4 linked regions of the Coturnix japonica genome follow. The protein of the gene in region 3 purifies or fractionates together with the protein of the main gene of each other region. This does not show direct contact. Links are inferred from orthologs where the notes say so. Each region holds a gene or a part of one and is shown on either strand. Other genes may lie near its edges. The genes, in order: MED9, CDK19, MED26 and POLR2D.

The links.
Region 1: the proteins of MED26 (region 3) and MED9 purify together in Homo sapiens (affinity purification with mass spectrometry; 6 studies listed by BioGRID and IntAct, with this or other methods). This does not show direct contact. The link is inferred for Coturnix japonica from reciprocal best matches to the Homo sapiens genes MED26 and MED9.
Region 2: the proteins of MED26 (region 3) and CDK19 purify together in Homo sapiens (affinity purification with mass spectrometry; 4 studies listed by BioGRID and IntAct, with this or other methods). This does not show direct contact. The link is inferred for Coturnix japonica from reciprocal best matches to the Homo sapiens genes MED26 and CDK19.
Region 4: the proteins of MED26 (region 3) and POLR2D purify together in Homo sapiens (affinity purification with mass spectrometry; 3 studies listed by BioGRID and IntAct, with this or other methods). This does not show direct contact. The link is inferred for Coturnix japonica from reciprocal best matches to the Homo sapiens genes MED26 and POLR2D.

What each region holds. Positions count from the first base shown.
Region 1 is NC_029529.1:4,802,339-4,809,887, forward strand, and holds MED9 (mediator of RNA polymerase II transcription subunit 9), read left to right. Parts: upstream 1-3,012; 5' UTR 3,013-3,047; coding exon 3,048-3,196; intron 3,197-6,044; coding exon 6,045-6,261; 3' UTR 6,262-6,840; downstream 6,841-7,549.
Region 2 is NC_029518.1:60,394,335-60,402,085, reverse strand, and holds the start of CDK19 (cyclin-dependent kinase 19), read right to left. Parts: upstream 3,947-7,751; 5' UTR 3,738-3,946; coding exon 3,610-3,737; intron 1-3,609.
Region 3 is NC_029543.1:3,343,029-3,350,740, reverse strand, and holds the start of MED26 (mediator of RNA polymerase II transcription subunit 26), read right to left. Parts: upstream 4,334-7,712; 5' UTR 3,605-4,333; coding exon 3,482-3,604; intron 1,404-3,481; exon of another isoform or gene 1-1,403. Other genes in the region: SMIM7 (small integral membrane protein 7), read right to left, coding at 7,181-7,196. UniProt on the Homo sapiens protein: Component of the Mediator complex, a coactivator involved in the regulated transcription of nearly all RNA polymerase II-dependent genes.
Region 4 is NC_029524.1:1,663,327-1,670,554, reverse strand, and holds POLR2D (DNA-directed RNA polymerase II subunit RPB4), read right to left. Parts: upstream 4,718-7,228; 5' UTR 4,663-4,717; coding exon 4,590-4,662; intron 4,518-4,589; coding exon 4,337-4,517; intron 4,105-4,336; coding exon 4,009-4,104; intron 3,061-4,008; coding exon 2,982-3,060; 3' UTR 2,875-2,981; downstream 1-2,874. UniProt on the Homo sapiens protein: Core component of RNA polymerase II (Pol II), a DNA-dependent RNA polymerase which synthesizes mRNA precursors and many functional non-coding RNAs using the four ribonucleoside triphosphates as substrates.

The sequences.
Region 1 (7,549 bases), on a different chromosome or scaffold from region 3:
GGCTGGGCTCCCTGGGAGAGGTGGCCACTCTCCTCAAGGACAGCAACTCTGATGTGTCACCCGATGGCTCTATACCCTGTGATGGGGCACACGGGTTCCCCTGCAGCTGGTCACCCTGATAAAGTGAGGTGAGCTCTGGGAAGCACCAGAGTTCTTTGGATGTGTCTGGGTGATGCTCAGCTTATGGATCCTCCCATTTCTATCCACACACCACAGAGAACTGGGGACACCAGAGCCCTGAAACAGATCCTCAATGACACCAGAATTCAAGACAGGTCAGATCCGAAGGCCAAACTTCCATCTGGTCACATATAGGGGGATGCTGGTTAGGAATCTCAGCAGTTGCAGGCTCACCTCTGAGGACAAAAGGACAGAGTCCCTGTGCTGCTGACCACAGCCCCAGGCTGGTTGCCCAGAGGAGCTGTTACTTCTTGTTCCTATCGCCCCATGCCAGGTGGCCACAACCCCAACACCATCTCTCTCATTCAGCAGTACAGACTTATCCCACTGCAGCAGCTCAGCAAGCCTAAGATAGAAAATTCAAGCTGACAATGAGCTATCGGGGCAGGACAAAGAGATAAAGTTCAACCTGATGATAGCCACACAATAAAAAATGATAACAGAGCTGGTGGCAATGGCACAGGCAGCTCCAGATAGCCTGGCAGAGAGAAGCAGAGCCTGGTGACATGCCAGATCATCCATACAGAAATGTCAGGTCATTGTAAGGGAACATTGGTGAGATGCAGAGCTGTGTGGTGCTCAATTAGATAACTGCTGGTAGCCCCCCTCCTGAAATTATCTTTGGAAGCAGACGTGAGAAGTAATTTGTATAGAAAGACAGGGGGAAAAAGGAGGTGATGACTGGTACTGTAAGGAAACAGGCAATAAGGGGTATTGGATACACTTTATTTGATCAGTCGTTTTTTAGGATAACGGATTAACCAAATGGTAGGGCAAGCAATAAAGTGTATGGGATGGCTTTAAGACATGGAAGGTCTGGAGACCTCCACGAGAGAGCAGCAAGAGAGCCAGACACAGCCCTCCCATCTGAGATGGAGACCTGCAGAGTGCAGAGATCATATTGAGTATGTTGTCTTCCCATTAGGAACTTCATCACAAGATGTAAGCCAGGTCACCATCTCACAGGGATAAAGGCCTCACAGCTTGGAGCACTGTAAGGGCAGCTGAAGATTAGGGCAGTGCTCCTTGGCCCAAAAAACCTCTTCTTCCTTCCCAGGCCTGTCAGCTGGGTCTTTACCCTCCCTGAAGTCTTCACCGAGGCTATGGACACACCAGTCATGGTACAGACAACAGGCAGACATTCAAACAGTAACTGTGCACTCTGGTCCCATCAATTCACTGGTGTCTTCAGTGATGGAGGAGCCAGTGGCACCATTTCCTCACTGCAAAACATGAACATGCCTAACCAGCCCTGAAGGATGGAGATGGGTCACCTGAAGGAGCTGTTCTCATGAGGAAGGGAAGGTGTGAGGCAGACAGGGCTGAACACCACTGAGACAAAGCTGTAGATTCCAATTGCTGTGGGAACACGTGAACCAAAATGGGAACGGAATGGTACAAAGAAATTCTGATTGACAGTGCTGTAGTTCTGCCTGAATGGTATCTGCATGTTGTCACCTACTCTAATGACTGCCTGACTCACCCATGAGAGGCAGGCATCCAGCAGCCTAGCAATTAGCCACACTCCTTGATAAAGTCTAGGGGAGAGTTAAAACCAGCACAGCACAGAATAAAATGACCCCTGAGGAGCCTGAATCAAGTCTTGCTTTAGAAACAGCCCATAAAACGACGTGCAGAAATGAACCTCTCTGCTCAGCCCCACACAAAGGCATTAGCATCCTGTACCTCCTGCTTGGTTCAGTCAAGGGCCATGAATCCCACCAGCCTTCCCGCAGGGATCTGCTCAGCAGGTCCTGGGCACCCCTGGGCTCTCCTGCACATTCCAGAACTGGTGACCAAGCCGGGATCTATTCTTGACAGTAGAACAATGTGAACAATTGCATCTGCTATATTTAGAGCGAGCAGTCAATAATACATACGCACAAACGGTTACCAGCGTTCTCATTTGATACATAAATAGTTCGCTTTTCAAAAGAAATTGTTTTTTAAAATGAAAATTACCTTTCCCGTCATCCCTGGGCTATAACTAACTGATGAACCCGGGAGCTGAATTCAAATAAAAAACAAAATTATCTGTGCTCTCTAAGCCAATCCAGGAAGGATAACTCACGACTGTGGCTGCTGTTATCAGTGCTACAATAGTGTGTATTGACAGAGCGGTTTAAACGCGGCAGCAGCAGTTTGCTGAAGCACACTCCTGATGGTGCACAGGGGCAGCACTGCTCACCCTCACCTTCCATGCAGCGTGTTCTCCATCACCCCCTTGCACTCACAGCCCAGGCACCCAAGAACCCCACCTCTCCCCTCCTTGCAGCTTCATGGATGTCTCAGCCCTGCTGCTGGATTTTTGCCTCCATTCCTTCAGGTTTCTCCAGTTCCAAGCCCTGAAAGCCCTTCTCTTCTCCAGGCTGAACTCCCTCAGCCTGCCTTTATATGGGAGAGGTGCTCCAGCCCTCACAGCATCTCCATGGCCCTCCTCTCCAACGAGGACAGCCAGGAACAGTTGGGCTGCACACAGGTCAGGGATGCTGTAGGTCACACTGTGGGGTGCTCAGTGTGGGTGTGCAGGGCACTGCCTTGGGAGCACAGGCCCGGCTCAGCTGGGGAACACCTCAGCAGCAGTGCAGTCCCATATCTGAGACCCAGTCCCAAAGCTTGACCCCGGGCTCAGCCCCCACACCCACCCTCACAGCCCAGGACCCAGGGAGGCCTCCGAGCCCCGCTCCGGCCCAGGCCTCAGCCCCAGGCCACGGCCCGCAGCATCCCCACACCCCAACCTCCTGCCCAGGCCCAAACTGAGCCCCACACACAAGCAGCATCTGATGCTCAGCCCAGGCCGCCGCCGGGGCGGTACAGAGCGGCCGAGCTCCGCCCCGCTCCGTCACTGCTCGGCGCCGGGGGCCGCCATGGCCTCGGTGGTGTCCGCAGGCCGAGGGGCCGCCGAGGAGCCGCCGCCGGCCGAGCCGCCCACCGAGCAGAAACCGCCGCCCGCCCCGCCGGCAGCAGCGCAGGAGGAGTTCTCCTTCCTGCCGCTCGTCCACGACATCATCAAATGGTAACGGCGGCCGCACAGCGCCGGGCCGGCCTCACCACGGCATCACCCCGCAGGGATGCTCCCTCTGCCCTTTCTCTCCCCGCTGGGGTCTATGGGGGGGTTGGCAGCTGCTCTGCTCTGAGCCGGGCCCGTAGTTGGGGTCACCGAGGTGGGGCAGGGCCGGGTGTGCAGCAGCAGGAGCCGTGCCGAGCTGTTATTGCCCCGTATTGCTGCTCTGATGGGCTGATAAGTAAAGGACGGGCAGTCCCAGGGCAGCACTGTCTGTTTCTGGGCGTTGGGAGAAAGAGGAAGGCTTGTGCAGGCTGAGTCATCCTCTTTCCTGTTCAAAATCAATGCTGTGGGGTTAAAGGTGTTCGTACGAGGGTCCTGACAACCAGCGTTTGTGGCCCAGGGTAACCCTGTCAGAAATGTTTGAGTTCCCGGTAGGGGCATCGCCCTGCTGTGACCTGGGCACGTTGCACAGTGATGCAGAGGGCACAGGAAGCGTGAATTCCCACTCCTTGTTGTGGGTCTGACTGCCCTTTCCCTGCACGCTTCTATGGGAGCTGAGGCTGCTTTGTTTCCTGCTGGGGTTCTGTGTGTCTGAGTACCCAGAAGAGGTTCACCCTTATTAACCATGCAGCTGGAGGAGCATGGCAAGGAAAGGCCGAATACCCCACAGACACGGCAGCCTAGAATCTAGCTCTCCTAGATTCAGGAGAGCTATGAGAACTCAAACCCACCCTCCATTTCCCCCCTGCGCTGCCACTGTCCCTGTGCTCAACCCTGCCTGATCCATCCAGAGGTGATGCTGAACCTGCTGCCATCTGTATATGTGTGCAGAGCCAGAGTGAGCCAGATCCACGGGCTGAGACCTCCCAGCCTCCTGTGTGTCACCAAGCAAGTCGTGGCGACCCACAATGACAGTGCTGGGATATCCTGTGCCCTGTCCCTCTGAGCCACCCACTCCCACTGCCCCGCTCCCCCCCAGGTTGGCACACAGCATTTCCTGCACGGGGTGAGCAGACGTAGGTGCTCAGAGCAGCACTGCAGAGGGGTCAGACGGCAGAGCCGAGCAGTGGGATGAGTTGCCTCATGTCCCTGACAGATGGCAAACGTATTATCCTTTAACGCCGCCGCCAGGCTCACAGCCCGGCCCTGCTGTTCTGACACTGACTCAGCCCTGAAGACATTTCACATCTCCAAGGTGACTGTGCTGGGGTGCAGTGATGTATCGCGTACATTTGCTTACATTCAAGGACACGTGTTCCTTCCTGTTGTTTGAGTCCCAAGAAAGTTCTCCCAGGCAGGGCTTGCTGTTACTTTCACCCTTGTATAATCAGATGAGGTTACCTGTGAGGTCCCTGTGCGTGGTGGGTTGTGCTGGTGTATCCAGGAGCTGCAGGTGGGACATGATGGAGTTATGATTTGTTCACAGCAGTGAAGGAGAGCTGGTGGGCAGCTGGGGAGGGTCTGAAGATCTCAGTCCTTGAAGGGAGATCCCAAGCACTGTGAGGCTGTGGCTGGACATTGCATTTAATCCTGTGTAACTGCAGGTAGCTGAACCTCTTCCCACTCTTGCTCTCCCCCCTGCCTTTCCATGCCTGCAGAGGAGCTGCTTCAATTACTTGAAAACTCCCATCAGAAACAAAACAACAACAAGCCTGAAAATAGTTATTCCTTCAAACCAACCAACCAACCAGGCAACCATCCATTCTTTGGATGTGGAGAAGAGAACGAGCTGTGGAAGGACCTGGTCGGCCCTTTGAATCCAGCATGCAGCTCGTGTGGATTAAAGGCAATGCCAACCCATCCTTCCCAGATGTGCAATGTGTGTGTGCCTGTATTTTTCCACTGTCAACTTGACCGTAAACGCCTGCATAATGGGGGTACATTATAGTACCAGCTGCGGTTTTATTTAGAAGGGAGTCATGAATATTTTGTTCCAACAGGCTGTTGAAATGAACGGGACCATCTGGTTAAAAGTTTTGCTCTCAGTCGTGTCACGATTCCCCAAAGTTCTAATCAGGCACCTCTCTGCCCTGGTCATGCCAAGCAGTTTTATTTTGGGCCTGGCTATTGAACAGGCTCCCAGCTTACAGGGGCCGTTAGCAGCCTGCTCTCGTTATTAGCGCTGCCTTGGAAGCAGTCTCGCCTTTGCCTGGAATGGTAAAACTCCTTGCTGTAGCTAACAAAGCTGAAGCAGATACTAATGAGGGTTTGAGGGCAGACGCTGCCTCAGACGACGCTGATCCTCGAGAAGCACGGAGCTGCAGAAGCAATTGTGCTGCTCTTAAAAAATAAGCTGTCGCTTCTCTTTATTAGGTAGACATCCCCGGAGAGTCGTTCTGAAGCTCCGAAATGCCGTTTTCTCTGCCATTGGACACACTCTGGTACTTTGGGGAACGATTCCTATTTTCTGCTGTCAAGCTGTTTGACTGCATCGATTTCTTGTATTGCTTTGACAACAGGTCACAGACGGGGCTGAGGTCTTTTTTCCCAGGTGCCCACACACAACCTGTGTGTGTGTAATCTTACCTTCCCCATATGGGAATTGAAACAGAGTGAGAGGCTGTGGTAGTGTTTGAAAGCTGCAGACCAGGTCTTAACCTGTAGGACTGCAATTAAGGTTACTGGATGGTGTGCTGAAAATGACCAGGAAACCAGTTTGTCCCAGCAGCTGCCTAATCTGTGTATGTGTCTCTGGTGGTTTTGTTGTGATAGGTGTGAATTAGATCCCAGGAGCAAAAGTTTCCCAGTGAATTCCAGCGTAAGCCCTGACCATGCTGGGAATGACAGTCCACCAGCAGGCAGAAGGTCTGTCCAGCAGGAGATGTGAGTCATGCCTCTTGTTTTCTCCCTTCTGCAGCATGGACAAGGATAGCCAGGATGTTCACCAGGTGCTGAACGAGCTCAAGAACAAGTTCCAGGAGATGAGGAAGCTGATCAGCGCCATGCCTGGCATCGGTGTGAGCCCAGAGCAGCAGCAGCAGCAGCTGCAGAGCCTGCGGGAGCAGGTCCGGACCAAGAACGAACTGCTGCAGAAGTACAAGAGCCTCTGCATGTTCGAAATCCCTAAGGAATAGGAAGGGAGCAGCTCTGCAGTCTGAGGCTGGGATGCCTCTTCTCCTGGCTGGAAAGGAGAGGTTTACTTTGTGGGGCTTTTTTTTGTCACGTTCCTGTGACGTTGTGGCTGTGTGGGTCACAGGCATGTGACACTGAACCAGAACCGTTCGTGTGTCCTTCACATGCGATGGTTACAGCAGTGCCTTTGCTTTGATCTGCTGTAGGACTGCGTGCATTTATACATGCAGCTCTTGGGGTTGGCTGTATTTTTTTCATTCAAGCAAGCAGAACACAGTAGGTTTTCTCAAAAGAGAAGGTGGCAGTGCCTGCTGGTTCAGTTCAACAGGGAAAAAAAGGAGGCATTTTCTATATTTTTTCTTTCTCAATCCTGAAATGACAAACATTGAAAGGGAGCAAAGGGAAGCAGAGCTGTTCGGCCTGGAAAGCCTGTTTGTTGGGAAGGGTCTCTGGGGTGCTTTGCAGCCAGTGTGTTGGAAGAGGAACGGTTGCTTTCTGTTGCTTTTGTGTTTTTCTCTCTGTTTTTAAACTGGTCGTTGTGCTTGAGATGAGTCAAGTAAAGGTTAGAAACTCCAAACTGCCCCTCTTGTGTATTCACTGAGTGCACGTGGGCTGAGCGGGGCTGGGATGTGGCAGCCTGGGCTCTGCTCCTCTCTCTTAGCATTGCTTTTTGTTACCGGAGAGCAAAGCAGAGCCTGCCAGGGGAGTGGATTTCAGTGGGCTTTGGTTACGTTGGGCTCCCACACCAACTCGGTGAGCAACACACCGGGCATCCCACTCTTACAACAGAAAAAGTAGGATTAAAACAAAAGGCATAACTGACAGCAGCTTTAGTTATTCCCTAAGCGACACGAGTCAGGCTCAGCAGGACGGATCAGTTCTGTGTCTGAAATGCTCCAGGGGCTTCCCACAAACACCAGCACTGAACGTTCGTCAGACGCTGATGGAAAGCTCTCGAATGTTGTGTTGCATTCAGATGGGGCTCAGAACTCCTTGTCCTCTGTCCTCCTGCTGGGAGCTGCTGGGTGTCGGATGACAACCTGGTGAGCATCTCACCCACTAACAGGTACGTGACAAGCCCTGGGATCTCACCGTGCTGAGTTAACGCTGAAAGGTGGAGCAGCTCAGGAGTGGGAGAGGTGCAAAACGGAGTGGAGAAATACAGCGTCGGATGGGAGCCTGCGTCTGAGAGCAGGTAGCATTCAGATGATGGGAACGGGGTCTGTCTGGGTAGGATTTGGCTTCCCAAAGCCAAGAGGCAAGTAATTACAATTAACGTATTTAATATTG
Region 2 (7,751 bases), on a different chromosome or scaffold from region 3:
CTTACTCTGACTGCAGACTTCCCCTTCCTTTCTCTTTCCATTCCCATGGCCTTTCCCTAACTTTCACTCAACCCCTGGGTGATGTGAGCACTTTGTACCAGCATTAAGAACTTGACACCCACACTTCTGCACACTGACACCACATGGAGCAGCACAGACTCCCCTTTAGCTCCAAGCCCTCGGTGCTCAAGAACAGGAGCAGATGGGTGGGCAGCTCCCAGCCCTTCTGCACACACCATATTGGACGCTGAATATTCCTGTCTTTCCCTGCACACACCCAATTTTTAAAAGGTGTTTTGAAACATGAGGATTAAAAATACTACATATTTAGGTTTTTGTTTTGTTAACTGTTGGGCTACTGCTGAACCAAGAACAGCCTGTTTCCAGTTGTCTCCTGAATCCCATCACTCCTGGTGCGTTCCTGACTAACTAACAGCAGTACTTTCCCAGCTTGCTGACATGTCCAGACACACTCCTACAGGTGAGTGCGAATGACGGAACAGAAATACCCTGCAGTGGCATGAACTGACAGACTGATCTTCTCAAAGAGTAGAGGGAAATAATGCAGACATCCTCAACACCACCACCAACAGAAAACAACAGAAATTCCAACCCACACTTTTTCCTATAAATTGTCTCCCCTGCAATAAGGAGGTACAGGAAGTCTAACTAAAAACACCATCGTGGCTGAAACTGCGAGCAAAGAAAGAGTAAGGAATGTTACAAGAGTGGTTAGGCCCTGGAACAGGCTGCCCAGTGAGGTTGTGGATGCCCCGTCCTTGGAGGTGTTCAAGGCCAGGTTGGACGGGGCCCTGGGCAACCTGATCTAGTAAATGTGTATGTTTGGTGGCCCTGCCAGGCAGGGGGGTTGGAACTACATGATCCTTGAGGTCCCTTCCAACCCGGGTCATTCTGTGACTCTATGTAATGAGAAAAGGTACGACACAAAACAGATCACGCTTCCCCAGGCACAAACTGGGGTAAGTGTACTCTTTGTTTTACTGGACAAATGTGATCTGGTGCCCAGAGAAGCATTAGCCAAGTCAGCATGCTATTCTTGAGGAGATATGCACACAAAAATAACAGGTTTTCCAGCTACATGAAGAGCTAAGTACTTAACGCTGACAGCTGAACTGCAATCACAAGGTTTATCTCTATATTCTTACCTCCACCCCTCCAAGGCACCGGTCCAGCTTTAGTGCACACTGAAATAAGCCATTAGACAGCTTACACAGATCTATTTTCTAGCCCTTCTGGGCTACAAAGATACTGAAATTCTATAAACCGGGTGCCTTACTTATCTAAGCGTATAATAAAGGTAACACTTCTAGATCTCATCAGGCCACACTACTGGGAAGGATAGTCAAGTATTCAATAAGCTTGTATGACCTGCAAATGTCAAACCAACATTGTTCAGACCTGACTACCTGTTAAAAAACACTTTAATACCTCAGTTTCACAGAAATCAATCAGCTCACCAGAAACGTGCCCAAGTGATATTCCACTCTAGGCTGAAAAGGCCAAACTCAGTTGTTACTCCGTCTAAAAACTTCTTTTATACCCAAGCCATTCACCGAGATCCAAGCAACCACTTTTACAAGCATTTGATCCACCAGCTTGCCAGGCTTCGTATAAACACATTTTACTATTTCATAAAGTTTGCGTGCCAAGTTTTTGAAACATGAAGTGACAGGCTCTCCGTGGAATTGCTTCAGAGCTGGGAGGCTCTCAGTGCCCCCAGCCTCCCGAGGCTGCAAACTGACTATGAGACACTGAGCAGCCACCATCATGCTCTGCAAATGTGAAATACTGAGGCAGACCGTGATCAGCCAAAGAAGAATTCCTTTACATGTGCCTCAAAATCCCCCAGTGATCGGCACACTATAAAAATGCATCACTGCTGAGTTTCTGGGTTTTTTTTCTGTTTTTTTCTGTCATTAAGGAACCCACAAACTTAAAGATTAATGGTAAATATGCTCCACTGCATAAAGATATTTTAGCTATCTGCTTTTTCTCTTCCCATAAAGAAATCACCTCATCTTAATGAATCTTTTAACTCGTTCGCATCTTACTTTCACCAAAGGTCCTAGAGCTACACAAACTGATTAAGAGTGAAGTTTCTGATGCCATAACCCAGTTTCCATGCTTCACAAAGCAAAACTTGACTTCTTACAGTGAAGTTGCATTTGTACCCTATTAAACTGCACTTCAATCTAATTGACCGCTTACTGAAACTTCTCACTTCCTCTCACCAGCAGGCCTGCTCACGGCTCCAGGTTTCCTTTAGCCAGTGTATCAAAGCTGGAGATAACCTATTTTTTTGCCATATTTACTTCTGATTTGCTGCCTATTTGCATTCCTAATACTATTACTTAAGGATTTTGAAGACACGTCCTTTATGGTGTTTTGTAGCATTAATGTCAATCTTATCACAACTTTCCATTACCACTGAAGGAAATGAGGCAGATAAGGTAGACAGACATCAAAAGCCTTTTTTTGGTCATAAAAACAGTAAACTCAAGCTTCTACCTCTTTTATGTTGTTCCTACGTGCAGCGATACCCAGGAAGGCTGCAAAGTTTCCTTTTAGAGTTAGTTATGCTCTATTTTTCAGGTTGCGGAGCCAGTTAGGCAGAGAAGAGCCCACCTCTCAGTGCTCAGTCCCTCACCTGAGCCAAACCGCTGACTCTTACTGATCCCTTTGATATTACAGCCACTTAACTCGCAGTTTAAATTGTTGAGCAACACATGAATGCAATTTACTCCTACATTAAAAGAAAAGTGCCTAGGTTACTTTCTGAATGGAAAGCAGCATTCCATCAATCACTTCCAGAGCTGCACAACGCAACCAAAAAGCCATTTTATCATACTCGGTCTTTTCAAAGTTCCAGCTGCCTGGGATGGAAGGCTCTTCAGTATTCAACTCCGAAGGATGCCACTTCAGGTTTATGAGTCTTTTGAGCGCGCTTAGAACACTTCTATACGTATGGCCCACGTGTGTGCACCATTAGCAGGGCACAATAAATGGAAAAACAGCCCTTCCAGAAGGATGGGGTCGGGGTCAGAGCTCACCCCTACACCGCTGCCTTTCAGAGGCCTGTGGCGGCTGCGTGCAAGGCACGATTTTGGCAACCCCAAATGGCAGCGTGAGCTCTCCAACACACAGCGCGTCAAGCCAAACATTGGACACCTTTCAGCTGTCTCTGTGGCGAGAAGGAAGATTTGGAGACACGAGCGGGCTCAGCGACCCACCCAGACCAAGCCGGCAAAGAGACGCGGTGCTCAGCCGTGGGTTACGGGGGCAGGTGGCGGATACAACCCGCAAAGGCAACGCCGCCCGCTGAGCCCCGGGGAGCAGCCGGACCCCATCCCGCAGCCGGGGCTAGAGCGGCCGCTGCGTTCCGAAGCCGCTCCCGGCCGGGCGGCGCGACCCCGCCATGCGGCCACGGACACGCGTGGGCAGCGCGGGCCCGACGCCCCCGCGGCGCATCCCGCGCACCTGCCCGGCCGGGCCGCAAACTTTCCGTCCCTCGGTGTGCGCTGGGACGGCGCGGTGGGCGCCGCGGAGCTGCCGGGTTAGCGGCCCCGGTGTTGGTGTCGCGGCCCTTACCCGTCCTTGCGGCGGGCCTTGTAGACGTGCCCGTAGGTGCCTCTGCCCACTTTGCAGCCCTCGTACTCGAACAGATCCTCCACCCGCTCGCGCTCGGCCGCCAGCTTCGACTTGAACTCGTAGTCCATGTCTCGCCCATGGGCGGGGAGGGACGGGACGGGGACGCGTTGCCGGCTCAGCACCCCCGGCCGGCGGAGCCCCCTCCCGGCGCCGCCATTTCCGGGGCTCGCGGGGGGCGGGAGGGATTTGGGGCGGGGGGGCGGTTTGTTTTTGTTTTGGTTCGGGGCTTTAGGCGGGGGGAGGGGGCCCGCTCCGCCGCCACCCGCTTCAACTGGGCTCCTGGCGGCGAGGCGCGGGGGACGCCGGGATTGGTAGTGCGGCGGCGGGAGCCGGCCCCGGCGGCGTGGGCGGGACGAGGCCGCGGCAGAACTACGACTCCCGGCACGCACCGCGAGCCGCGGCCAGGCGGCGTCTGCGCACCGCGCTCCCCGGAGCCCGGCGGCGTTGGGCGGCCAGCGGGAACTTGGCGGCTCTGAACGGAGCCGGGCGGACGGGCCGCCACGTGGAGCGGCACCGACACCGGAACAGCGCATAGAACCGCGGGGAGCGGGGAAACCAGCGGGGCGATGAGGAAACTTGTTTATCTCGGCGGCTGCCACTCAACGCTCGGCTCCACCCCCCCGCCATGATTGGACAGAGCGGCCAATGTTGTTAGATGTGCAGCCCGCAGCTACAGATGGGGATATTATGAACTACTCAGTCTGCCTAAATGCAGCAGTGACCATTTCAACGTCAGCATTAAAGATGTTGGCTAAAATTAGAGCTAACCATCCACCTTTTGCAAAGCGCAGCTTTAGTCACCCAGCAATCACATCCAGCACTGAAAAGAGAGCACATAGGCTTGCATAGGCAAACATGTCACCGCCTCAGAGAGCTGTACTGTTGTAATAATAAGCTCTACGAGATCCTGTTGCTCACTGTGACCGCAATAATAATTGTTTTCCCCCAGTCTCATCACAGATGCTCTTGTTTTCTATGTGACAGGTCTGATTCTCCTGCAATTTGCTGTGTATCTGTATCTGTTTGGAGAGGGTGACAGCACACCCGGTTACAGGGGCTCAGCCTGGCTGCCAGCTGTGAGCTGAGGCAGATCGGTTCTTCCCCATCCCGCAGAACACCCAGCTCCTCAGCGTTGCAAATGGCTGTTTTATCCTTCCTCAAACCAATCGTGCTCTGACAGTAAACACTTCACCCCTCGCTGCTGCTGCTGCTTGGAGGCTGCCCGACAGAAACCTCTCTCACGGGAAAGCCTTTTTTTAACCTCCAAACCTGCGTTTCCTTGAGACTTGTCTACATCCATCTTCCCATGCGAGTACTACCCTAACGTAGCCTTTTTTCCCCACTTGTGTGTATCCCCTGCCAGAACTGTTTACAGACTGCAATCTCATTGCCTCACAGCTTTCATTTTGCTGGACTCGAACAGCCATACTCTTCTCATTCCCATAATTAGCTCCCTACTCCCCCTTCTTTTGGTCATCCTATGCTATAGGCTTGGAAGTTTGTGAAGGCTTGTGAAGGGCTTGGAGAATCAGCCCTACGAGGAGAGGCTGAGGAAGCTGGGGCTGTTAAAGTCTGGGGAAGAGGAGGCTGAGGGGAGACCTTATTGCCCTCTTCCAGTACCTGAAAGGTTCTTACATTGAGAGCGGGGCAGGTCTCTTCTCACTAGTGACAAGTGACGGGACAAGGGGAAATGGCCTCAAGTTGTGCCAGGGCAAGTTTAGGTTGGATATTAGGAAGCACTTCTTCACAGAAAGGGTAGTTAGGTACTGGAATAGGCTCCCCAGGGAGGTGGGTGAATCGCCATCCCTGGTTGTGTTTAAGAGCCGTTTGGATGTGGTACTCAGGGATATGATTTAGCAGAGGGTTGTTAGAGTTAAGGTACTGGTTAGGCTTAGGTTAGGTTATGTTGGACTGGATGATCTTCAGGGTCTTTTCCAACCTGCGTAATTCTATGATTCTATATTTGCAAATCCTGCAAAGGAGGATCCAAGTTTAGGCCAGCTCAGAGTCCAGTAGGAACAAGATTACCTTCTCATTTGAAGACTGCAGAAGTTCAATCATCATGAGGATGAGCATATTTGTCTCATCTTGCAATTGGAGCACATGGCAAGATTCTGCTTCAAATTCTTATTGTAATTTTTCCTACTTGGGGAATCTCTGATTTCTGAACTGCCCTTTGGCAGCAACCCTGTTCTGAGAGATTGCATTCCTGTGCAAACTGCTGCTTCTTCAGATGGGTTTCCTACCATTCTTGAATTGTTTATCATTGTGTTATTCGTGTCTGTTCAGTGCAGTAAATGTTTAGATACATAATGCCTTATCCTTTGTTAACTGTGCTGATAAAGATATTCAGAAAAGTACCACCGAAGAAAATAGAAACTGACAGACTTGCAAGTTGCCAGTGTGATGTTTCTCAGGCTGACAGCCTAAGTGGAGATGAGGGGTTGTTGCTGCTTGTTAACATCACCATTTCTCCATGAGCTTTGATGGTCACGTAGTGCCCAGACTGTAGGAAAGGAAAAGTATTTCAAACAAGACTGAAAGTTGAGGCACTGAATATTCTCAGTAATTCTCTATTCAGATTCTCCTAGAGAGATAAAGCATGAATTTCTAGTGAAAATAAGAATTTGCTCTTTTAATATTTTCACATCATGAAATGGCACAGACCAATTTTTTCTTTCCTTTGCACACAAAATACAGTGTGTATTTTGTGTATACAGAAAATTCATTTTCTTTCCAGTTTGTTCTCACTTCCTGTCTTGGTAAGTTGTATTTTCTGTCTTAGCCAATCTCTTAATCTTTTCTATTTGAGTATTGGTGAGATCAAAAGTGTTTTCTGTTAAGTTTTTAGGCCACATCTGGAAGACGTTGCACACTCTCCTTGAAAGCTTCTACTTGTTAATACAGTGAGAAATTTTGGATTCTTAGGGATCAGAGACAGCATATTTCCAGTAGATCTTGAGTGGGGCATTAATAAACCTATACAATGTTTACTTATGTCTGTCACATTTGAGTTGATGGCTGATGGTTGAATTTCTGTCAGTTAACTTCGAAACACCTATAATAAACATATTAACTTTATTAACTTGGAAAATGAAGTACATAACTAAGGTGCACTATCAAGATTTTACAGTAAGTCTAGAGAACATGCTAGGAATGGAAGATGGGAGCCCTGAATTCTGTTACCATTATATAATTAATTGGCCAGCTCTATGTTTTTAGAATTCATTTTTTTACAGTACCACAATCCAAATACTACTAAAATAGAAACCTTGTGTGCTTTTCTTGAATATAATCCAAGAAACTGGTCTCAAAATAGGCAGTGCTGCTTTTAACCATCGTTGAATTTTTCCTGAGAAAAAGAAAACTCTCACAAAAATCACAAAACCTATCCCCTACCTTCTCTTTACAGGCCAAAAACAGCAAAGTAAAAGCAAAATAGTTCCACATGGTATGATGTACCACAGCTCACTGTACAGTTACAACCCAGCCTTACCACTGATCGACCAGAATCATCACAAGTGTGTCTTCTTAGCAGACCCAGTCCCCATGAATTGTGAAACAAGACATGTCAGCTTATTTCTTTTGGAGTACAACATGTAGTACAGCGTATTTTATTAAGTTTCTCAGAAAAGGCTGAAAGTTGGGATACTGTTAACTACAGACATCGTGTTCTCATCTGATAAACAGCATGACAGCTGGTTTGGAGGGCCAGTCATTACCACCAGCATAAAGAAGGAGTTTAGAGAAAGCTTTGAACTCTAGAAATGTAGAATCTGCACCTCATTATGGAGAAAGCATAAACTCTCATTCTTAGCATAGCAGCCAAAAATGTGGTACTTGGGAGCCTCGCAGTTGGTGTCACTGAGATTCCTTGGGTTTTTCAATCTACTTGCACCATCATTGTTCCAGCATCTCCATATTCCATCTACTACTGCTTCCCTGGCACTGGTTACAGTTTTCAGCAGCTAAAACAATTCTCAACTTCCTTGTAGAATTCATTGGTCTTTTTTTTTTTTTTTTCCATGGACTGAGAAAAACAGTTGTACATAGTGAAAAATGAAAGGTGTTTCTTTGATTCT
Region 3 (7,712 bases):
GCAGCACAGGTGAGCACAGCGAGCTCCCATAGGACCACAGCAGCCCCAGCCAGCATAGGGCAGGATGGAGGCACAGGGAAGTGAGAGGCACTCTGCTTTTTAGCCTCAGTCCCTATTTAAGCGCTTTAATACCCACCTGTGCTGCCACACCTGTGGCACTGCTCCTCACGACACACCAGACATTGCATCAGGTAGCTGAGCTAGAACAAAAACTGTCAGGAAAAACTACTCTGTCATTTTTCAACCCAGATGGATCCCCCGTTTCAGCTCACAGCCAGATTCTGCAGACAGCTGCACCAGCACTCACAGAAGGGATGCACGTAGCAGGAGTAAGGAGAGGGCATTATTTAACATGTCACCACTGCTGAAACCAACACTCAAATTACAGCTTTAAAGCAAATGACTACTGCCATCACCTACACAGCACCAAGGAACTGCAACTGAAAGGCAATCTGGCAGCCCCAAATCTTCTACCCCCCCAATTCAAACTCCCTGCTACTTCTGTTCTGCTCAGATTCTGCCTTTGCAGAGCCCAGCTCAGTGCTGCTAAGTCTCACTGCTGCAAGGAGCACAGTGCAGGTTCCTCTCAAGGAGTAACACAGCGCTGCCAGCAACAACAAACCGCCTGGGCCCAGCCAGGTGAGCACTACCTCAGAGCAGTTAAACCCAGCATCAGTGTGAGCATCACAGGCACTGACACAACACAGTCAGCAAGCGAAAAGAGAACCACTAATTAGTTTACAAGCTGTTTTGGAAAGAGATGAGCAGTAAGATTGGAGAGAGAGGGCAAAGAATGAGCAGCATCACCAGCCTTAAACCAGTGGGTTTAAACAAACTCAGCTGCTGACAATACAGAGCATTAAGAAGCAGAACAGGCTGAGTGCAGCAGGACTCCCACCTGCAGCCACCAGATCTCCCCCAGCAGCCAGGAGTCCCGGCTAAGAAATGCCATGGCCTCCTGCATGTTTCCCCACACACCTGAAGCTGTCAGCTGCCAAGGCACAGAGCGGGTTGGGATTTGCTTGAAGCACTCAAGAAGGAGACAAAAACACCAGTGAGAGGTACAGCAGGTTCCATCCTCTTTGCACACCACAGCTTCCTCAAAACTGATAAGCTCATTAAGGGCCTCACAGAAACGGATAAAGCTGAAGCAAAAGCCATGCCTAGTCTACTTTCGCCCACACAATGCTTCCCTGCATCTCCAGAAATTACCAAGACCCTCCCAAAGCAAAGCACTGCCTTCCTTCAGCCCCAGCACTGATATTATTAGAGCTGTGTCTGGCGCTGTCTCCTGGAACAAGCTCCCCTTCCTTTTAACATCAGCTCTAGGAAGCCCCGTCCCTGGAGGTGTTCAAGGCCAGGCTGGATGGGGCCCTGGGCAACCTTATCTAGTAAATGTGGAAGCCTGGTGGCCCTGCCAGGCAGGGGGGATGGAGCTTCATGATCCTTGAGGTCCCTTCCAACCTGGGTCATTCTGTGATACTGTGAAAGCAGATCTCACTTTTATGCCTGAACTTTGGTAAACCAACCAACCCAGAAAACAGCTGTGGAAACATCACTAACCATGAGACTGGAAGATCACCCAACACTAGGTAACATAGCACAGCACATAGACGGATTCATCATTAATGTTCTGGCCTGCAGACATCTCCCAGAGGCCGAGCAGCAAAGCCATGGAGCTCAGTGTGCACGGCAGCCTGGACTGCAGGCAGCCCAACCCATACAGTGAGCATCTGAGGGGTGGTGACCTCAAACCAGAGCTGGGCTCACACCTTCAAGTGCTATTAATGGTAAATAATTAAATTATTGTCTAATATTCAAAACACAAAGGCTGCTACATATTTGGGATGAGGACCCTGTGCAATTGTGAGAACAGTTCTAACAGTCTTTCCCACAGAGCAAAAGCGAACAGCTCACACCATTCCTGCCACCAGGCAATGAGACTCCTGATGCCCCATTGGAGCGCCTTCACCCAGCAGAGGGGTTCTGCTCAGCACAGTGAGCCCAAAGAGAAAAGTGCTGCTTCTACCAGAACCAGGGAGCCCTTTCCCCTAAAAGCCCGCTCCAAGAGCCCATCGGACGCTTCCCCAGCTGTGCTGTCCAAAAAGTCCTCCCAGGAGGAGGATTTCCCTGCAGGAACATCACACTGCCCTGCTGGGGGTACAACACCCAACTCCCTGCTCCAATACAGGACTGGGTCCATTCCCAATGACCCCATGCTGGTAAATGGGGTGTAAGTCATGGAGCAGAAGTAGTTTGTCCATATGTTTTTGCAAGGGGAAAAGGCTGAATAAATGGAGATGTAACAGCAGACATCCCGTGTGGCTTCCAATATGATGTAATTTTTTTTTTAAATAGCTTATTTCTTACAGGTCTCCTTTGAAACAGAGCTTTATCACATAAATAGTGATCCAAGTGTGTGAAAATAAGTTATCAAAACATTCTGCAGCAAATACTAGAAGAGGTCTCAAGTGCTAAATGTGTGTACAATATAAGCAGCGCTCCAAGTCAGCAGAGCTTCAAGCAGAGGTTAAAACAGATGATCAGAATAGTGAACAGCTTCTGAAAGCACATGGGTTCCAACAACCTGGGGAAGAGCCATCTTGTTTAACTCACCACAGGAAGGATCTTCTCTGAGAGGACCTCACACTTATCCAAGATTTGCTCATACCACAAAGACCTCCACAGTCCCACTGGATTGAATATCCACAAGGGGAAAGCGGGTTGTGTTGGGGAAGATATCAGCAAAGCTGAAGTTGACAGCACCCCACAGCAAAGCGTGATGAGAACCACCTCCCCTCCACAGCCCCACCAAACTGATCCTTGTGCCACATGCTGGGTAGATCTGGTGCAGTTTTCACCCTCCCTCCTCTCCAGGGACACACACGTACCCGCACCGACAATCACATCAAAAAGTCCAAAAGAAATCCAGGCCTCAAAGCTTTTTTCTTAGTAAACAAGGAAGTCAATCACAATAATGAATGCTTTAAGTTTGAATGCAACCACTTCTTTCAAGAAAAGTCTCCAGAAGCCAGAAGAAAAGAGCCACAACTCTCCCTGTGCACCAAGAAGTGCTGCAGCTCAGAGCTGCACAACTGCTTCCTGTGGGGAGACAACAGAGCAGCCTCTCTTGTACTTCAACATTGGAGATCAAGTCAGATTTAAGTCACAATCTGCTTTTAAGAACGTTCAAAACTCATATTTTTCTCCCTTTCACTAAAACAGCACAGCAGTTCTGCCTGTCCATCTATTGCTTACTATGTGCTGGGAAAAAAAAGTCCAAGTCTGTATGATGAACCTCAACTCCACCACTTCTGTTCTCATTCGAAGAAGAGGTTAAAATAGAAGACAGCCCCCTGCCTACAGGCATTTCTGAACAATGGGCTGATTTTTCCACCGCTAATTATTGCCCTGGATAAGTATCAAGTATGTAGAATTATAATTTAACATACATTGCTTCTAAGCTTATGGGGCTACTGACCTGCTGCAGGCCCACAGAGCGCTGCCTGATGCTCAGACCTGCCCAGCAGAGCTCCTGCTCCATACCACCACCACAGCACAACCTGACATCGCACATGGAAGAAGCACATTCATCACAAAACATAATTCTTAACTCTACACAGCTACAACGTTTTAGAAAGTAACCCCAGAAACAGAGCAACCAGCATCAGCAGGTCTGAAGTGACAAGAAACCACTGCTCCATTAGAACTGTATTTAACCAGCTTGATGCTGAGTGTAAGGTAAAACCAAAATCCCACAGCCACAAGTCCCAGAGCAAACAGAACTCAGGAAAGATTGTTTCCGTATCTACCAAGTTAAAGGACCACAGACTCCAACAACTGAGACTTGAAAGCCCACCATCACCCTTATCATTCATTACTGTTACTCAAGCTGGTAATACTGCAGCTCATGACAAATGCTTATCACAACAGGCTATTACAAAGTGGTTTATCTTTCAGTTTTCACATCACTTGCATGGCGCTACATGATGCTTCCAAACAGCAGTAAGTTCATCAGCCACTCGGAGAACACAACACCTGTCTGTTATGGGAGAGATTTGCTCAGAGAGAAGCAGGCACAGCTCCAATGAACCTCGGAGCCCATCTCGTGCACTCCTGGCACAGCACAGCACGCTGCAGCCTGACTCACCCTGACTGCCCTGCGACAGACAGCTGGGAGCAGCACAGCTCTGTGCACTGCCATGGCAAATGTGGATTTCAGATCGAATAAATCTGACAGACCGCAGACCCCACAGTCCTCTCACCGTAGTAAACGTGGATGTGAAGAGCTGCTTTACTATGCCAAAAAAAACCTTAAAAGGAGTAAATAACACTTTGGATTACCACGACTTACACATGAAGACCACTTACTGGTAAAATCTACGTCGACTCCCGTGCTTACTCTACATCCCAGAAGGAGCAGATAAGCTCATTAGCGCTCTGCAGGGAAGGATAAAAGCGAAGACCGAGGCTGCCCGCTGCCGGAGCCGCTCCAGTGCCCCGGATCCACCTTCGAAGCCCTCCGGGCGCCCCCAGAACGCGGGGACGGCCCCGGGCCCGGCGTCTGCGGCGGGAGGCGGCGGAGGGGCCGCGGAACAGGTGGGCGCCCTGCGAGAGTCCGCAGCCCGGCCCAGAGCCCCCTGCAGGCCGCACCCGAGCCGCGGCCTGGCGTGGGGAGGCCGCCGGGCCGCGCGCCGCATGGCCGGGCACAGCCGGACGGCGCCGGGAGTGACGGGAGACGGCGCGGGGCGGAGGGAGAGCGCGGCCGGAGGGGAAACGGGGAGAGACCCCCGAGCTCCACGGAGGGAGCGCGCGGAAAAGCGCCGCCGGGAACGGGACCGTGGGCGAGCACGGAGCCGGGAGCTGCCGCTACCGCCCGCAGCGGAGGCTTCCGGTGCCCGGGGAGGAGCGCGGCGCGCCGCGGTCCCGGCAGGAGGAGAAGCGGCGGCGGCGGCCGCGCGGCCCCACGGCGTTCGTTCGTTCCCACAGCGGGAGGCGGCGGCGGGGCCGGAGAGCGGCCGGAGCTCGGCGTCCCCGCGCCGCCGGTCGGGAGCCCCGGGCCCGGCGGGCCGTACTCACGTTGCTCTGCGGGTCGATGGCCTGCAGCAGCCGGTCCCTGATCTGCTGCGGGGAGGGGGCCGGAGCCGCTGTCATTGCCTGGGCGAAGCGGGGCGGCTGCGGCCGGGGCGGGCGGGCGGCGGGGCCGGGCCGGGCCGGGGCGGCGGCTCCTCACTCGCCGGCGGCGGCGGCGGCCTCCTCGGGGAGCCGGAGTCGCATGTTCGCTCCCCGCCGAGCGGGGGGCGGCGGCGCTCGGAGCGGGGCGCGGAAGAACCGCGACGGCGCGACCGGGCCGGGCCCGACTGCTCCGCTCGGGGCCGAACTCAACTGTGGGCAGGAGCCAGCCCCGCGCAGGGCACCATGGGACACGCCCGACGCCGTTACGCACGGCGCGCCCCTGACGTCCCTCCGCACGCACCGCCGGGCGCCCAGAGCGCGTGCGCGGCGGGCTCCGTGACGGGAGGGGGGGCGGCCGCGCGTGCGCAGTCGGCCTCACGGCGCGCGTGCGCCCGGCGGCGGGGTCACCCGCGGGGCTGGAGGAGCGCGGGCGGGGGAGGGGAGCGCGGCGCCGCGGCTCCGTGAGCCCGAAATGCCGCCATCCGCCGCCGGCTGCGGTTGAAGCGGCCCCGTCCCACTCCAGCCCCCACGTTGGCAGCGCGAGGCAGCTCCGAGGGTGAATGCGGCCTTATGGACGGAGCGCCCGACAGCCGGGGGGCGACCGGAGCGGTGTGAGGGCCGGAAGGGGCAGAGCGGGGCGGGGCGGAGGGAACGCGACTCCGGCCCCACGTTACACGGACCGGGATCCGTCCGTGCCGCCCCGCAGCTTCACGTGGCCGCTCCCGGCGCTCTCACCCCGCGCCGTTTTTGACGCGTCGCTTTCGGTCCCGTCCGAGTCGGCTCGAAGCCGGCCGTGTGCTGAATGCAGACACGGAGCCGGCCCGGTTCCGAGCGCAGCCCGACCCGCCGACCGAGAGCCCGAACCCGGAGCTGCGGACGGGACCGACCCGCTGGGCAGCGCTGAGCCCCCTGGCGGCACCCCCGGCCCGGCACCGCGACGAGGCGAGACAGCACCAATATTGCTAATATGGAAACATAGAAGTTAAGACAGAAAACAAGAAAATCACACACCAAAATCACACACCAAAATCACACACAAAATGCGAATTAAGGTTAAATTTCAAGGGCCGTAAGTGCTCTGTGCAGGACAAACCTCTCCGAAGGGTTCTTTTATCCATATACTCTTCTGCATTCGTGACTAGGAAACGTTACCAGCCACGAATGCTGATTTAGCATTAAAAACCAGCACAAAAAGCCAAATGTGGTTACAAGACTAATCAAAATCCATCAAACCCCACCAATACTGAATTAATTTCTTACCAGAACGAACACAACATCAGATGGACTTTTACCCTTAAATAGAACTTCTTTATTCAACCAAATCCAAAATGATTCCAAAACTTGCAGAGGATTACAGATATTTTTCTGTTCAAAGTCCCTTACTTAGGAAAAAAAAAACCCACCCTTATCTTAAAATTTGTATCTACAAATGAATTTGTTGGGGAAAAAAAGTGAAAATCCTCTTTTGGGACGCCCATATCTACTTTCCCAAAGAGAAATGGAATAATGAGGGAAAATGACTGTTATTTTCCCCCTAAGTTACATCAATATTTTACTCAACTTCCCACTAATGAAGCTTGACTCCCATGTGACGCACAGCATGGAGACAGCAGACACAGCAGGAGATGGGAGCAACTGACGACGCAGAGCTGCACGGCTGTGGCCTTCAACCCACTGCACATCAGGCACCAAACGTTGAGCAACACCATTTAAAGTTGTGGGGTTTTTTGTTTGTTTTTCTCTCCCAGTGAAGTTGAATGAATTTTGCTTTCAAGCCTTTGGTTCAGGGGCTGGACGGCTCCCTGCCCTGCAGATCCACACACCCATTATGCAGCTGGCAATGGGGTGGCTGTGTGCTGTGTTGTCCTTTGGAGCTCGTACTGAAGGACCCACCACCATCCCAGGGCTGTGTTTGGAAAGCATTATAATCTTTTACTTGATAGAAAAGTTATGTTTGCAACCAAAGAGTCTCTTCCAAGTTACCAGACACGTTTGTAGATGACTTTCAAGATCCAAATAACCTGGTGGACAAAACACAGAGAGAGCAGATGAGAGACGTACAGCAAAGCGGCCACACCAGCACTGCAGCTCACGATGCTGCCGCACTGCTGTAATTGGTTTTGCTCTGCCATGCATCAGACTGAAGGGCTACAGCAGCAAAAAGAAAACAGGAATTTTGCCAGCCTGCCTATCCCAAGTACAACGCAGAGTATCTAGAGCCTATTCTCATGGCTCATTATTAGTTTTTATTATCTGGCATTATTTCCCTCCCCAAATGAAAATCATCCTGAAGTTTATACTGTGTTGATTTTGCAGATGCTGAATTGAATTATATCATACCCAAGCCTAAAATGATGCCATGTTGTCAGAGAGGCTCTCATGCAGTACAGGTGCCCATATAGGCAAAAAATGAGGTCAGCCACTATTTGTTGGACGATCAAAGCAGATGAGCAAAATGAGAGAGTAATTTATGGAACAACAGAGTGTGAGGAATCACAGAATCACAGAATTATCAAGGTTGGAAAAGACCTAGAAGA
Region 4 (7,228 bases), on a different chromosome or scaffold from region 3:
AACACATCAAGACTATACAACTCACAGATGTGGTACAGCTGAAGCTTTCATCCTGTTTTCACAACATTCCTGCTCAGAGATATCAGTTTCCTAAAGCAGCAGCTCCAGCAGTATCTGGGCACAGTGGGAATTATTATTTTTTTTTCCAGTTTTAACAAACAAAGTACAGAAATTCCCTAGATAACAGTGCTGCAGCTGGAGCCACTGAAAGTGAAATATTCCACATGGAACTACCTCACTAAGAAGTTAAACTGCACTTTTTCATGCCCCTACACAACCCAAACCTTGCTCCAGCATATTTCTCAAGCCACTCAGAAGAGTGTGGCATCTGCAAGGGAAGGGAACAAACCAGGCGCTCTCTCACTCCCTACCCTGACCAAGACTTCTTTCTGCTGCAGCAAACTACCTCTGTCTCAAGTTCAACTTACAATTCCCACCTTATTACTGCTTTTGCTCAGCACAAGTTTTCAATTCCAATGTATCACAGGGTAATGGTTACTGCTGCTTTGTAGCTGCCATTCTTTTACATCTTGAAATTGTTGCAGCGTATGAAGGGCTGACACTGTGGGTAACAGTGGCAAACTTCAAATACCAGGCACAATCATCTGCTAGAAGATTTCAGCAGCTCAAGGAGTTTATTAGAATCATAGAATGGCCCGGGTTGAAAAGGAGCTCGTTCCAACCCCCTGCTGTGTGCAGGGTCACCAACCAGCAGCCCAGGCTGCCCAGAGCCACATCCAGCCTGGCCTTGAATGCCTGCAGGGATGGGGCATCCACAGCCTCCTTGGGCAACCTGTGAACAGTGCGTCACCACCCTCTGGGTTAAAAACTTCCTCCTAATACTCAACCTAAACCTCCCCTCTCTCAGTTTAAAACCATTCCCCCTTGTCCTCTCACTGTCCACCCTCACAAACAGCCATTCCCCCTCCTGTTTATACACTCCCTTCAAGTACTGGAAGGCCACAATGAGGTCTCCCTGCAGCCTCCTCTTCTCCAAGCTGAACAAGCCCAGTTCCCCCAACCTTTCCTCATAGGAGAGGTGCTCCAACCCTCTGATCATCTTAATGCTCCTTCTCTGGACTCACTCATTAAAGGACATTTAGATACTGGCACTGCTGTGCAGAGAAGTGTGGGTTCCCACCCCTGGAGGTGCTCAAAGCCAGGCTGGATGGGCCCTGGGCAGCCTGAGCTGAGGGAAAGTATCTCTGACCACAGCAGAGGCTGGGACTGGCTGGGCTTTCAGGTCCCTTCCAACCCAAGCCAACCTGTGATCCTATGGTAAATACACACCAGATAATCAGTTAATTCTCTATAGCTCAAAGATTTTTCACATGTCCCTGATATTTCTCTATTTATTTACGAAAACTGACTCTTAATCTGGTAATTTCATCAGCTTCTGAAACAGTCCCATGGAGGCAGGTCAAGTCAAGCCTAACTTTTGAGTTCTAGAGCAGCTGGGCAGAAAACTCCAAAAACAATAACAAAATCAATTAAAGACATGCCAAATTAGTCTTACCATGCTGAGGCTGCTTAAATTGTTTGTTCTCCGGAATCTCATAACTACCCATTAGAAATACTACAGCACAACCAAACAAGATGTCAAGAAGCCGACTGTAAATAGAGAGCTTATTATTATACACTGCTATATTAAAAACAATGTATTTTAACAGAACTCAATTCTGCAGACTGGTAATTGCAGAGAAAGAAACCGTGGGTACTTTGACACAACCCTGATTACATACTGTACACTCTCTCGCAAATACGCATGTGGAAGTGCCTTCATTAAAGGAATAACAGCTTCGAGTTAAATCAGGTACAAAGGGAGAGAAAACTGTTGCAAGAAGGTTGAAGGACTGAAGCTCACAGATTCCCAACCACTACCCACAAACGAACACTAAAGATGCAATAAGGCACAGACCCAACGGTACAGAACTACTTACCTACGGCAGTTTTTGTAAGACTGAGACGCTCACATGAGTATCACTACCGCAAAATACCATATTTCGAGTATACAAATATCTAATCTTAAAGAAGCAGCTAAGAGTCAGCAAGGGAGAAATAATGCGCGCTTTCACCAAGTTTAGCAAGCAGAAAAAAAGACATTTTCCTAATTTTAAGACGTTATTAGTAATAAATTTAACTGAGAAATCACCACCATCGAAATGACCCACCGTGCGCTTACACAGCCCGCCCAGCTCCCAGGGTAGGTGAGCGCCTGCCGCACGTGGCTGTACCTGCCCGCAAAGCCCCGCACCCACCTCCGAGCAGTGCCAGGCCGGCACCCCGCAGGCCCAAGGAGGAACAGCACGAACTGGGAGCGGGACAGACGCTCTACTCAGGCCCCAGCAGCCGCGCACGGCGCAGCGCTGCCCCACCACAACACGGCGCTCACAGCCCACATCCCTCACCCCGCGGACAAGGCCGGGCCCGAAGCGCCGCGATCCCGCCCCGCTCCAACCTGAGCTCGGCCTGAGCTCGGCCTCCCTCCAGGGCCAAGGCCTAAAAATGGCGGAGCGAACCGCGCTCTCCGAGCCCCACTCCCGCCTCACACCGCACCCAGCCGAGCTCACCGTCCAGCCGGCGTCTCCCACCGCGCCCTCGCGGCCCCGCCGCTCGGCTCGGCTCGGCTCTTCGGCCCCGGAAGCCGCCGACGCCGCCTCACGATCCCCCGCCGCGGCCGGCCGCCATCTTCCTGCCCCCACCAGCGCCAGGGGCGGCGCATGCGCACCACGATAAGACGCTGAGCGGCAGGGAGGCCGCTCCACAGCCTGCGCATGCGCAATCGGAAGCCGCGCAGCCCTCAGAGCGTCCACCTTGTCCCAGTACAATCAGTGTATTGCAGAGATCTTCATAAATATGACAGAACACAGAAGCTTAATTAGAAATATCTTTTAATATCTTAGAAACATCTTTTTTAATTTACGCTAAGGGGAATAATACAAAACAACTGAGCGTATCAGGGCAGCTTTTGGTGCTCAGCTTCAGTACTGGAAGCTGCGTTTGGTCTGAATATCGTCAAGAATCTGCTGTAATTCCTCATCTTCAAACCGGCCCTCGAGGCTGCAAGGTAAGAACAAGGTGGGTACATTAAAGCTCGTAGGAACAGCCTCCCCTGTTCCCCTCTGAATTCATTTCACACCCATGCAGAGCCTCCTGTTTATGTGACAGAACTCCAACCTTCCCACAGCTCAGTGTGGAATGATTTCAAGTCATTGTACCAAAAGGTCAACCCGGGTGCAGGCCTCATGCTCATAAGCCAGTCCAGATTTGCTATGAAGAATGTGAGCAAAATACCTCAAGTTGTACCAATGGAGGTTTCAATTAGAAAGAATTTCTTCACAGAAGGGGTGGTGAGGTGTTGGAACAGGCTGAGCAGGGAAGTGCTGGTTGCCTTTTGTGGAGGTATTCAACAAACGTTTGTACAACTTAGAAGATTCTATGAAATCTTAGCATACAAGGGGAAAGCTGTACTTCAGATGAGTGTCTCATTCCTCCTCTATCTCAGGGTACGAGGTAACAAATGATGAGACGACACTGGAAGATCTCCCTGCCCCATCTGCACATTGTCCACCCAGCGGTTCAGAGGGACACTGCTGTTTGCTCCAACAACAACCAACAAACGCAGCTGGCTGGGCTGACAGCCCCAGTCTAAGCCACTGCCCAGAGATGTGCTGGAATCCCCACTTCTGGAGACATCCAAGGCCAGGCTCTGAGCAACCTGACCCAGCTGTGGGTGTCCCTGTTCACTGCAGGGGAGTTGGAGCAAATGGCCTTTAATGGTTCCTTCCAACTCCACGATTCCATCACTCTTAATCCAGTAAATGTTATCTAAAGTGCGTTAGGGATATTTAGATTGCTTCACTGTCAGATCAATGGGTAAGTGAAGAAAAACTGAGATGGAAGGTTTTCCCATCAGCAGAGCTGGATTATGGAGGAGGCATCTGTCCATGGGCAGCTTTACATCACAGGGCAGTACACCACACTCCTTTTAGGTATATAAATGCTCACCTGGGAATCAAAGCTTTGGCTTCCTCAGCAGTCTCAGGGCATAAATTGGCTAAACACGCCAGTTCAAACTTATGGAGCTTCTTCTGGAGCAGCAAGCTGTGAGGAAAGCCAACAACAAGACAGATAAGCAAAGCAGCATCAAGGCAAGCAGACAGCACACAACTCTGCTTTTTGACACTGCATCCAAGTTTATGAAGGAAGAAACATTACAACAGTGGATAGGTAAAAAGACAGACACAGCTGTGGGAAGCCCAGGAAACGTCAGTAAATCTCAGCTCCATCGAACAAGGCTGATGTTACGTATCACAGCCCAAAGCCTCGCACCCACCTGCGGACGCTGGCGATGGTCTCCCTGTTCTTGAAGCGGCTGAACCGCGCTGTGTAATTCAGGGTTTTCATGAAGACTTCGGACAGCTCCTGCTCATCCTCCGCGCTCTCGTTCTGCTGCTTGCGATGCTCCAGAAGCATATGGACCTCTGAGTTCAGCAGGGTTTCTGCCGTTTCGAATTCTACGTTGGAACAAGCAAACGTCAGTGTTTAAAACACGGATCCAAACAACAGCACGAGGTGTCGCCGCGCACCTTTGGGGAAGACGAGCTGCGAGGCGTCCTCCTCCACATCCGCAGTGCGCGGGTCGCTGCCGCCCGCCGCCATTGCTCACCCGGAACTGGAAGACATGGCGCCCGGAAGCGCAGCGCTGTGAGTGCCCGGCGCCCAGCAGAGGGAGCGGCGCCTCAGGTGGCTCCAGCTGCGCTGCACGGCGCTGTGAGCACCCAGCGCCTCCATCTTGATGCCTCTGAGGGAACGCAGCGAGTGATGGCTCCAGGAAACAACCCACAGCAGCATTACTTCTGGTGCAGTGTGGTAAATACATGGAGGTGTGTGTGGGAGGAGCATGGATGGCAATAGCAGAACACAATAGAAGTAAGGTTCCCTTCTTTGGCCTACTCAGGAATAATCCATAGACAGCTTAAAGCTTCAGGCAGGCTGGAAATGAGTGGGTTCGTCCTGGCACTGCTAGCAAAGTAGTGTTTGTAGTAGTACTTTCCCTTGGGAACACACATGAAAGTGCCCAACCAGCTTAAGACTTACAGTAATCATCTTAGGCTGCACAATGTCACCCCATGCCCTTAAAGAAATGCAGAAATAAATGGCTGGAGGATTCACTGTGAGGCCACTCCTGCTCTCCTAACGCACATCTGTGCCGGCTGCTGTGCTTCCTGCACCCTGCAGGTGGGTGAGCTCCACCAGGAGCTGCAGGATCAGATCTGAGCTCCTTAATGTTTGTTAACTCCAGACGAGCGTGGCAGAGAAGCGAACTAAAAACGAATTAGCTGAGTGGTACAAACAGAAAGACACTCAGGAAGATAGTGTGGAAATAGAACATCTAGTGAATGAGGCTATTTCAATTACGTTTACAAGAAAACAAGGAAATCATAGAATCATAGGCTGGCTTGGGTTGGAATGGACCTCAAGGATCATAAAGCTCCAACCCCTCCCCCCCCCACCACCACAGGCAGGGCCACCAACCTCCATATCTAATACTAGATGAGGCTGTCCAGGGCCACATCCACATGCCAGATTGATGAGAGAAGCCTTTTAAAATCATTTGGAATCCCAACAGCTTCTCACATACCCTTTCACCTCAGAACATCCTGATCTTCAAGCAGTAGGTAGCTTGCAGTCTTGGTTACAAATTTAACATCTGTTGTTCCCCAGTGATCTCTCCTACTTAAGTACATGAAAACTGAAAGGATTCGGGGAAAGCCACATACCTACAAGAGCATAAAGGTACAGCCAAGGAGGCGGTGGTGGTGGCTAACAGCTCCCTGTCACTGCTGTGCTTGGTTTCAGTCTCAGGTTTTAGACATGAGCTTCTGTTGCATAGTCCAGGGCAGAAAGTGTTGGTTGGGACATCAGTGGTTTATTAAATAGATACTCTACAGCAATTCCTTCCTTCCCTCTGAAAACAGACCCACTAGCAACTTGAGTGCAAAAAAACAGCTATTACACACACACACACACACACACACAAACAACAAAAACAAAACCCCTTTAGCTAAACATCTGTATAGTAAAACATAGGAACATGTAATAAATACATTCCATTATCAGCATTGCTGAATTTTGTAATGTCTTTCCTTCCAGCAGCTCTGGAGCTTTGTCGCAGTAATTATCTACCTAGTGGGCGTGCCACAGACTGACTTTTATTTAGAAAGCAGGTTTTGACTGAAGGTAATAAGATCAGAACACTGAGACCTTAATCTCTTCTTGTTGTCAGCAACATTTTTAACATGTGCTACATCAAAATCCATGAGCAAAATCCCCCACTTAGAAAAACTGGTGTCAAAATGGCCATTGTTGCACAAGATTTACATGTTTTTTTAATGTGTTCTTGAAGTATAAATATCCAAAGTTTTCCTATAATCTCACTTTCCATTTATCAATTCCTTTTAAAATTGAATAATAAAAATACAGTGGATGAGCATAAGAGCAATACAAAATTGTATCCACACACCCAAATGCTGACAATCTGAATGCAAAACTGGCTTTGACATAACACTGATGTTTAAATATATATATACAGTATCTAAGCACACTCTGAACTGGCTGTGCTGTGTATCATTCCGTTTGAGAGCAATACTTACACATACAGCTCAGTGTGCACATTAATAACACTGAGTAACATGTTCTGTTTTTAATGGTTGTCTCTGAGACACAGCATTTCTCAATCATCATTAGATACTTCATATAAACTTTGTTCAAAGAAAAAATGTCTATATTCTGCTAGGAATAAAAACAAGTGTTATTCAGCTGAAGTTTCTTGTAGAGATTTCTCCCAGGCATTTCATCATTTGTTTTTAAGAGTTTTTAATCAGTGCAAAATGACTCATTAATTGTCTTTTTTTTTGGTGTGTGTTTCTTTTCAAGCAGAAGTAAAACCAGAAGGAAGTGCTTTTTGGAGAGCAATCCTGGAATTATTTCAGCACTTCCTTCTGCCTGTGCTCACCTCCACTGTGAGCTGCTGAGGGTTCCTGCAGCCGTGGAAGCAACGTGCAGACAGGAATCTCCAATGGAAGACACAGGCCAAAGATTTTGTGCCTGTCTGCTTCAGTGTAAAGTAAGGAAAAATATCTATGCCATAAAGTGATACAAAGCATAGATCAGTGTATGTACCCTAGTTAAAAATGCAGATGAGAAAGCATAACTGATAGCCAAT